2 linked regions of the Canis lupus familiaris genome follow. The protein of the gene in region 1 interacts with the protein of each later gene in a pairwise test. Links are inferred from orthologs where the notes say so. Each region holds a gene or a part of one and is shown on either strand. Other genes may lie near its edges.

Region 1 (4,435 bases):
TCCCCAAAGAGCACAGTATAGTAAGACACATTAACACACATGTTTAAAATTTAGTTACATTAATATGTAGGTGCAAACAAAATTCCTCTAGCCAGGGACATGAAAGACTAAAAACTAAGTGCTACAGGAAGGTAAAATAACTTTTAAGTACCTTTTAAAGTACAAATATATGTGATTAAAATCCAGTGATTATGTACCATTTATCATTATCACTAGCAGCCAAATACAATTAAACCCAAAGTGTTGTCTAGAGAAGCTCAGCAAGCCCAAATTCGTTCTCTTAGAAGCTGAAGTATCAGTCTGTCTTCTGAGAGTTAACATAAATCTCTCAGCTCTAGAACTAAAACAACCCAAAGTAGCAACTCCTCCTCCTGTCACAGCTTGAATTCCACCTCAATATCTACCTGTTTTCACTCTCCTCTAAGAACAACCAGGACAAGAGAATACGATAAAACTACTGCCACACATACACAGAACTATTTACTTAATATGTGCAGTTTCTCACCATCCCACCTCAAATTAATAGGCAAAAGAGCCCTCAGTCACATTATAACATCTTGGTCTGACCTAATTATGTTGGGCTTTGGAGCAGGGGAGTCTGGGCCTCACATTGGAAGAAGTTGTTCCCTCAAGAAGACCCAAACACCCCTGGGTGGTACACTCAGTCGAGCATCAGACTCTTGGTTTCAGCTCAGATCATGATCTCCAGGTTGTGAGATTCGGCTCAAAGTTGGCCTCCGAGCTCAGGGAGGAGTCAGCTAGGGTTTCTCTCTCTTCCTCAAAACCTCCCCATGCTCGTGCTCTCTCTCAAATGGTTAAATAAATCTCTAAAAAAAACAAACAAACAAACAAGCGAACAAAACCCCCAAAACACCTAAAGCTAAAACTAGGCCAAGCAGGGACTCTGTATATTCATTTATGTATTTCAATCAACTGCTGTAGGACCATCCAGTTCCGGGGAGGAGAGCGCAGTGAAAGCTAAAGAACTGAGTTTGTTTAGAAATGAATTTTTCAGGTTCTCAAAACATATATAAAATCAGTAATATGTAAAAGAAGAAAATACTGGAAATAAGTCCTGAATTTTACTTAACTCTAAGCAAGCTGTTTCAGAGTACAAGAATACCTCAGAGTTCTGGCCTGCACCTGACCAGAAAAATGACCTTAGGAAATTTATGTAAGTCTCTGAGACTCAGTTTCCTCATCTGCAAATAGGGTTAGACCGTAAGTCCTGAAGATACCTTTGGGTCTAAAATTCTAGATCTACGAAAAAGTCAGTGGATTTCTATTCTCTTCTTCCCTCCAGTACAAATTTTTTATGAGAAAAGAAGCCATAACTCTAAGCCTAGACTCTGACTCAAAGTGAGTTTTCTTCTATTTTGTTAGCTTCCCAAGGGCCACCACTCATCTACAAAAGTAGATGGAACTACCAAAAAAACAATTTATCAAAAGATCTTTAAGTTTTCCTTCACAATTAAGAATTAGTCTTGTACTTTCAGGCCAAACAATGTCACGCCCAACGCTCATACCAGTATCTCTACCAATTTAGCCATGTCTAAAGTGACAATCCTGCAATGGTACATATATGTACCATTTTCAACCATTTAGTGGTTGAAAAATTAAATGACTGAAAAATTCTCACCACAAATAACATTTTAAAGAATTTTAAGTATTTTTCCCCTTCAGATCTGGCAGGGAGGGCTATAAAATGCATACCTGAATAAAAAAACATTTACTTCAAAGACAAACACCAAAAGAAGGAAACATATCACCAATATTGGTAAAAACTTTAAATCAGGACCATTAAAAAAACACAAGTGGAAAACACTGTGATAAAAAAGGATACCAATTTTCCACCATAAACTACTGCACATTGTCTTGACCAAATCGATTTGAGTGCAAACAGTGCTATTTAATAAAGACAGCTTGTAACTGGGTTCAATCGGTAACTAAAGACAGATGTTTAGGGGATTCCAATCAAGGTAATAACTTAGACTAAGCAAAGTTGCAAATTAATACTCTATTTCAATGCAATAGAGTTTAAATCATGAAAAAGTGTTTTCAACTGGAAAATTCCCTTCTCAATACCCAAGAATCCTAACCCGTAAGATTTCAACACTACTTTACTTACACAATCTCCGAAACTACTGCATTTAAAAAGAAAATCTACCCAAAACATATCTGGACTTCACACCGTATAAAACGGTGATTCATGTTTCATATTCAATGCAAAAGCCAAGATGGAGTTGTAAAGAGTTTCTTTCCCATTTCAACTCCCGACAGCCACGCGCGCTTCGCAGGGACCCGCTGCACCGCGCGGTCGCCGGGCCCAGCTCGAAGCCCCCGCCCTGCCCCGCACGGCCGTGAGAGAGGAAGAGCCAGGGACCGCGGGCGGGCGTCTTGGGCTCCACCAGGCCTGGCCGGGCGGGGGAAGGGGCGCGGGAGGCCGCGGGGCGCGCTTCCGGGGACTGCGCGGGCGGGGCCGTCGCTTTGGGGAGCGGGGCCCCGGCCAGAAGGCTGGGGCCGGGGCCCAGGGGCAGCCGGTTGAGAGCAGCAGGTGGGGCGCGGCCGCGGCGGGGCGGCGGGCGGGCGGGAGGCCGGAAGAGCGGCGGGCGGGCCCGGGGCGCCGCGGCGCCAGGAGAGAACCCTCTCGGCTCACCTCAGGCGACGACTCGCAGTCCGGCCTCTCTGCGCCGAGTGCGCCTGTCCGCGAGTCGGAAGCTCGGAGACTGGGGCGGGTGGCTGAGAAGACCACGGCGAACTAACGAGAGAACCGACGGAGGACGGCGGGCGGCGGGCGGGGAGCGCGAGCGAGGGCGGTCGGCGGCGGGAGGGCGGGGAGCGACGTGCGCGCCCCCGTGTGCCAGCGGGCTCGAGCCGGCCCCAGCCGCGGCCCCGCGCACGCGCGCACACTTACAGCTCAGCCACGATTGCTCAGGAGCGCGTCCACGCCCTAATAGCAGGGCGCTTAACCAATCACTGCAGCCGCGTGGGGCATCACGGGAACTCCGGGGCTATAAAAGACCTGGTTGCTATTTTATGCTCCTCGTCTCACTCATCGTTTAAGTAAGCAGGGTGGGGCTAGGTGCGCGTGCGCGGTTTTAGTACTCCTCCCCAAACTGCCAACTCTTCGCGCAAGCGAAGTAGACTCGCCTTGCCTGGTTTACGCGTGCGCATTAACGGGCCTGGCCCGGAAGACCAGACGCCTGCGCAGTGGGTGCTATAGTGACAGTCCCGGGTGGGGCATGGGCCAGTCATGGCGGAGCCTTGGTCTGGGCAGTCCTTGCAGTCTCTGCCGACCTTGGTGCTGGGCACACTGGGCACCCTGGGCAGCGAGTTCCTGCGGGAGTGGGAGGCGCAGGACATGCGCGTTACCCTCTTCAAGCTGCTGCTACTGTGGTTGGTGATAAGTCTCCTGGGCATCCAGCTGGCGTGGGGGTTCTACGGGAGCACGGTAACAGGGCTGTATCACCGCCCAGGTGAGGCTCCCCATCCCCACCGGACTGCATCATTGGGCTCCCCAGAACTCCCTAGACTACCACTGGTCTCCTAAGAACCTCATCACAACTTTATGCTCTACCCTGACCCATGCCAACATACCATTTCATGCCAGAAATCCCGGACCACCCATCACATTTTAACCGCTCCCTTGAACCTCCATCAGACAATACCACTAGTCCCTTTAAGGCCCCCACAAGACTCCATCAAACAACATCACTGGCCTTTAACTTGATCTGGGCTGATACCTGCTCAGATTCCCACCCCAAGCCTGCTGCAGCTCTGGATGTGTTCCTGCCCCCAGGTCTGGGCGGCCAGAACGGATCCACACCTGATGGCTCCACGCATTTCACTTCGTGGTAAGTAAATCTGTGCCCATGTCAACCCCATGCTTGGCAGGCAGAAGACACATCTATGCTGGGAACAGGGACAGGGCTAGGAAGTTCTCAGGGCAGGAGTCCACCAGTTTAGTGGCCTTTGCAGCAAGCTCAAAGGCTTGCAAGTGGAGCTCAGGCTTCGAATGATACCAATTTAACAGCCCATTGATAGGCTATTCAGCAACCTGTGGGGCTGGTGGTGCTACTGTCAAAATCTCAGAGATAAAGTAGCAGGTCTGTTGAGTTCAACTCTACTGCAAGCCCCTCAATTTAGAAAGGCAGGAGGCTTTGTCCTTTTTTTTTTTTTTAAGGTTTTATTTATTCATGAGAGACACAGGCAGAGGGAGAAGCAGGCTCCATGCAGGGAGCCTGACATGGGACTTGATCCTGGGTGTCTAGGATCACACCCTGGGCTGAAGGCGGCGCTAAACCGCTGAGCCACCCGGGCTGCCCAGCCTTTGTCCTTATTGCATTGACTGGCCTCATCAGGGTCAGCCGCCTCATCTGTAAAACATCAACTCCCTAATCAAGAGCATTCATTCAACCAATTTCTGAGCTCCTAC
Region 2 (3,812 bases), on another chromosome or scaffold:
CTTGGGGACAGATATCCCTAGGGGTTAGGTGCGTACCACTGAGAAGGATAAGATAGAAAAGCCTTGGAAATGTCCTTCCAATGCCCCTGAGAAGACCCCATTTTATAAACAGCCATTCAAGGTGGTGAAATAGCCTTCTGCAGGTTGAATCCTAGCTCACTACTAGCACCTTATTTTCAAACCTGCATGACAGGACAGGTCACCAAAGAATTGCTCTTTCATGGAAAAAGACCCAATTTATCTTCTGTATGGCAATATCAGAGTGGCCAAGCCAAGAACACAAGAAGTGATGGCAGTGGAATTCAGGACAAAATTCAGGTTCTGTCTTCTTGTGCAGCCTTTGAAAAAGTTTAATTTGCATGCCCAGTGGCAGCATATACGTTCCAGTGTAGCAATAATAACCTCAGGATTAGGACTTCCCACCTGAGAGGAAATCATCCCTTTTGCTCTCCCCTCCCACCAAGTCTGATCAGGAACAGGGTTGAGGAGGCTAACTCTGGTGGAACTGGGGGTCCCTGGCTTCTAGAATACAGATGATGATGTATGAGTGATTAATCTCAGGTTCCAACTCCCTGGTTGAGACTAGACCAGAGAAGGGAATCTCTGGAGGCAGCACCACAGGTGGGGACAGGAGTGCAGGGGTGCAGGGGTGGGGGTGGGGAGATGGGCCTATGGCTCCCACATCAGGGGTTGCCTAACTCTTGACTTCAGTCAGGAAGGGACTCTATCCAGTAGCATCTCCATGAGATTGTGATCCTCAAAGTACCTCCCTTTCACATTTGGGATTACAAAGACTAACTCTGGGGCTGAAGGAGCCCAGACATTCCTCAGGGCTGCTAATTTAACTCCTGATCATCATAGTTGCATCGATCTGTTGTTAGGGAAATATAGGTGAACATGCACTCCTGGTGTTTAAAAGTCAGGGCCACTCAAATGATGATTGGTTACTGGTTCTGTGTGGAGATGGGGGAAAACAAAAAGATACAACTATTTTAAATAGAATGTTGGCTTTGGATACCTCTCTTCAAACCTAATCTGATTTCCCTAAAACGGTACTTACTTTTAGAATATCATCCAAATGCATGATTTCTTGGTTCAGATCCTGAAACACTTTGTACTGCTCTTTATGTGGCTCTAATGCAAGGAAAAGCCCACTAAATGCATCCTCTAAGCTTCCATCTAGGAAGGATCTACAGCCTTCGGATTCTCCACTGACAGAGCCCTCAAAGAGCTGCCTCTCCGTGGCCACTGGCACCTCCGCCGTGGTGAGCCTCTTGACCAGCTGCTTTGTGATGTTTCCTTCGAAAGTGTCCAGTTCCACAGGCTTGAGCTCAGAGGCCTCATCAGACTCCTGCAGGAGCGCCTCGGCCACATCCTTCTCCAGGAACAGGTGCTTGGTGGCAGCACCGGCAGACGCTCGGCGCGTCTCAGGGTTCCCAGGCCCATCAGTGTCCTCCTCCGGGTGGGGCTGTGACTCTCGGCCTTCTCTGGAGGAGTTCCTGGAAGATGCTGAGCTAGAGTCATCCGTGCCCTCATTCGGGGAGCAGAGGCTGCTGTGGTTCAGCTCTGCAGGGGTGATGGTAATTTCTGGATTTGTGGAGCATGTGTTGGCCAGAGAGCCAGCTGGGTCAGGGGTGAGGGCACAGTCCCCGTTGGGTAGGTCACTGAAGCTGAGACACAGGGGTGTCTTCTCCTCAGCTGCCTTTCCATGTTCAAAGACGTCATCAGGTAGATTAGACTGCGGATAAAAGGCAACTCGTTATTATTTTAAATACAAATGATGTGTTTGGTAAGGGCACCTGGGTGGCTCAGTTGTTGAGCGTCTGCCTTTGGCTCAGGTCATGATCCCGGGGGCCTGGGATTGAGTTCTGCATCAGGCTCCACGCAGGAAGCCTGCTTCTCTCTCTGCCTTTGTCTCTGCCTCTCTCTCTGTGTCTCTCATGAATAAATAAATAAAATCTTAAACAACAACAACAAATGATATGTTTGGTGTGGTTTATTTCCAGACAAGATGCCAAGCCATTAAAAGAAACAACCAGCACTTTCATAATATTAACTTTTTATTTGTTGATTTTGTGTGTGCATATGTGTGTGCGGTTGCATGTGTGGCAAAAGAAAACAAGCCCTTACAAACTATTTCTGGTGCTGCATCTAGGTGAAAGTTCATTATACTATTATTAGGTTTGATATTTTTCAAAAGAAAAGATTGGGGGAGTATGGGAACAGAGCCTGTTTCCTAAAATCCAGGATCTCACAGTATTTGGCAGCCATAGTTCTGAATAACACTACCAATTTTTTTTTTTTTTTGGCATTTATCTTAAAAGACTTTCCAATGTTCATGCTAGTTCACTCAAAAGATGTGATGCTTTGTTCTGCTTCACTTCTCATAAGTTATTTTAAAAGAATCTCTATCCACAAATCCCAAGCCCTTGAAAATGTTCTATTAATTTAGTAACCATGCCACAAATAACCAAAGGCCAGAAATATACTCGCACAGCTTCTGTAAAAATGGAAGAAAAAAGATGAATAAACCTGAACATCTCCCAGGATTGCAGAGCCAGAACTCTCAGGGTGTCTGGAAACACCAAGTTGTCTTTTCAAGCTGACCCAGGCTGGGTCAAGCACACTCTGTGATTCATGAAGCAGAACGCAGAAGGGAGAGAGGTTACAAATATCCAGGTAATCAAGATAATTTATTTGTGCAGGCATTAAAATGATGTCTAGGTCATCTCTTCCTATGCTGTGGTCTAGGTGGTATCTCCGTGCCAAATGTGGCTCCATGGAAAAAGTGTTCTAGTATTTGAGATCAACTCCTTTGAAATGGATAATTTCTCTTCGGTTCCAGATTTGATATTTTAAGTAAATGTAAGTACTGAGCAAATGCCTATTTTAACTATATGGAGGGCAAAGAGGGGCCTTGTGGTAGCAATAGGTTGGGCTACTCCCTGGGCTTCTTCCCAGGGGGTCCCTCAGGCATCTCACAGAAGTCCTGGGTCCTCCAGGTGGTCCTGCCCTATCTCATCTCATCTCCAAACCACACATCCTAAGCAGGCAGTCTGCTTAAGTCAGGGTTCTTATTCAAATTTCAAAGTCCTTGCCAGCCATTTCTCTTGATCCCATGTTCCCAAACCTGACTGGCAGCTATGGGAGTGGCCAACATTGAGTTAGATGAAGCTGGGATGCTCTATTCAAGAATGGGAACTTGAGGTGTGCCATGAGGGGACGAGCCCATCCATGGGCACACGAGAGTACAAGGGGATGTGTCTTTTCTGATTGAGGCATGACATAATGAGGCAGGTCCCCAGCACAGGGATGGTGCTGCCTGGAGACAGGTGGTCCTGGAGCTCCACCCCACAGGATGGGGAGGTAGAGGCGAGGAGGTAGAAGAGCCTTCCAGAAGGAAAGTGTGTGCACAGGAGCAGCTCCTGAAGAGGGTGGTCCAGCTGGAGGGGGGTGGGGAGTTTGGGAGGCTGGAGCAGAGAACAAAGAATGGCCAACGGCAGGTATGGCTGAGGCCAGATGGATACAGCCCTCTGAGGAATCTGCCTGTACCCAAAAGGCTAGAGGAAGCTGCTGAGTTTTTTTCTAATCCTGTTCTCATTTTTTTTTTTTTGTTTATTCATAGAGACAGAGAGAGAGGCAGAGACAAGGCAGAGGGAGAAGCAGGCATCATACAGAGAGCCCGACGTGGGACTCGATCCAGGGTCTCCAGGATCACGCCCTGGGCTGCAGGCGGCGCTAAACCGCTGCACCACCGGGGCTGCCCAATCCTGTTCTCATTTAAATTATGCTATTAAAACCTCTACCAACTC

Evidence for each region.
Region 2: the proteins of RHOA (region 1) and RIPOR2 interact in binary tests that used the Homo sapiens proteins (3 or more experiments, as listed by UniProt). The link is inferred for Canis lupus familiaris from reciprocal best matches to the Homo sapiens genes RHOA and RIPOR2.

The regions. Positions count from the first base shown.
Region 1 is NC_049241.1:40,229,941-40,234,375, reverse strand, and holds the start of RHOA (transforming protein RhoA), read right to left. Parts: upstream 2,826-4,435; 5' UTR 2,657-2,825; intron 1-2,656. Other genes in the region: TCTA (T-cell leukemia translocation-altered gene protein), read left to right, coding at 3,254-3,476, 3,752-3,854. UniProt on the Homo sapiens protein: Small GTPase which cycles between an active GTP-bound and an inactive GDP-bound state.
Region 2 is NC_049256.1:24,262,133-24,265,944, forward strand, and holds part of RIPOR2 (rho family-interacting cell polarization regulator 2), read right to left. Parts: intron 1,739-3,812; coding exon 1,061-1,738; intron 1-1,060. UniProt on the Homo sapiens protein: Acts as an inhibitor of the small GTPase RHOA and plays several roles in the regulation of myoblast and hair cell differentiation, lymphocyte T proliferation and neutrophil polarization.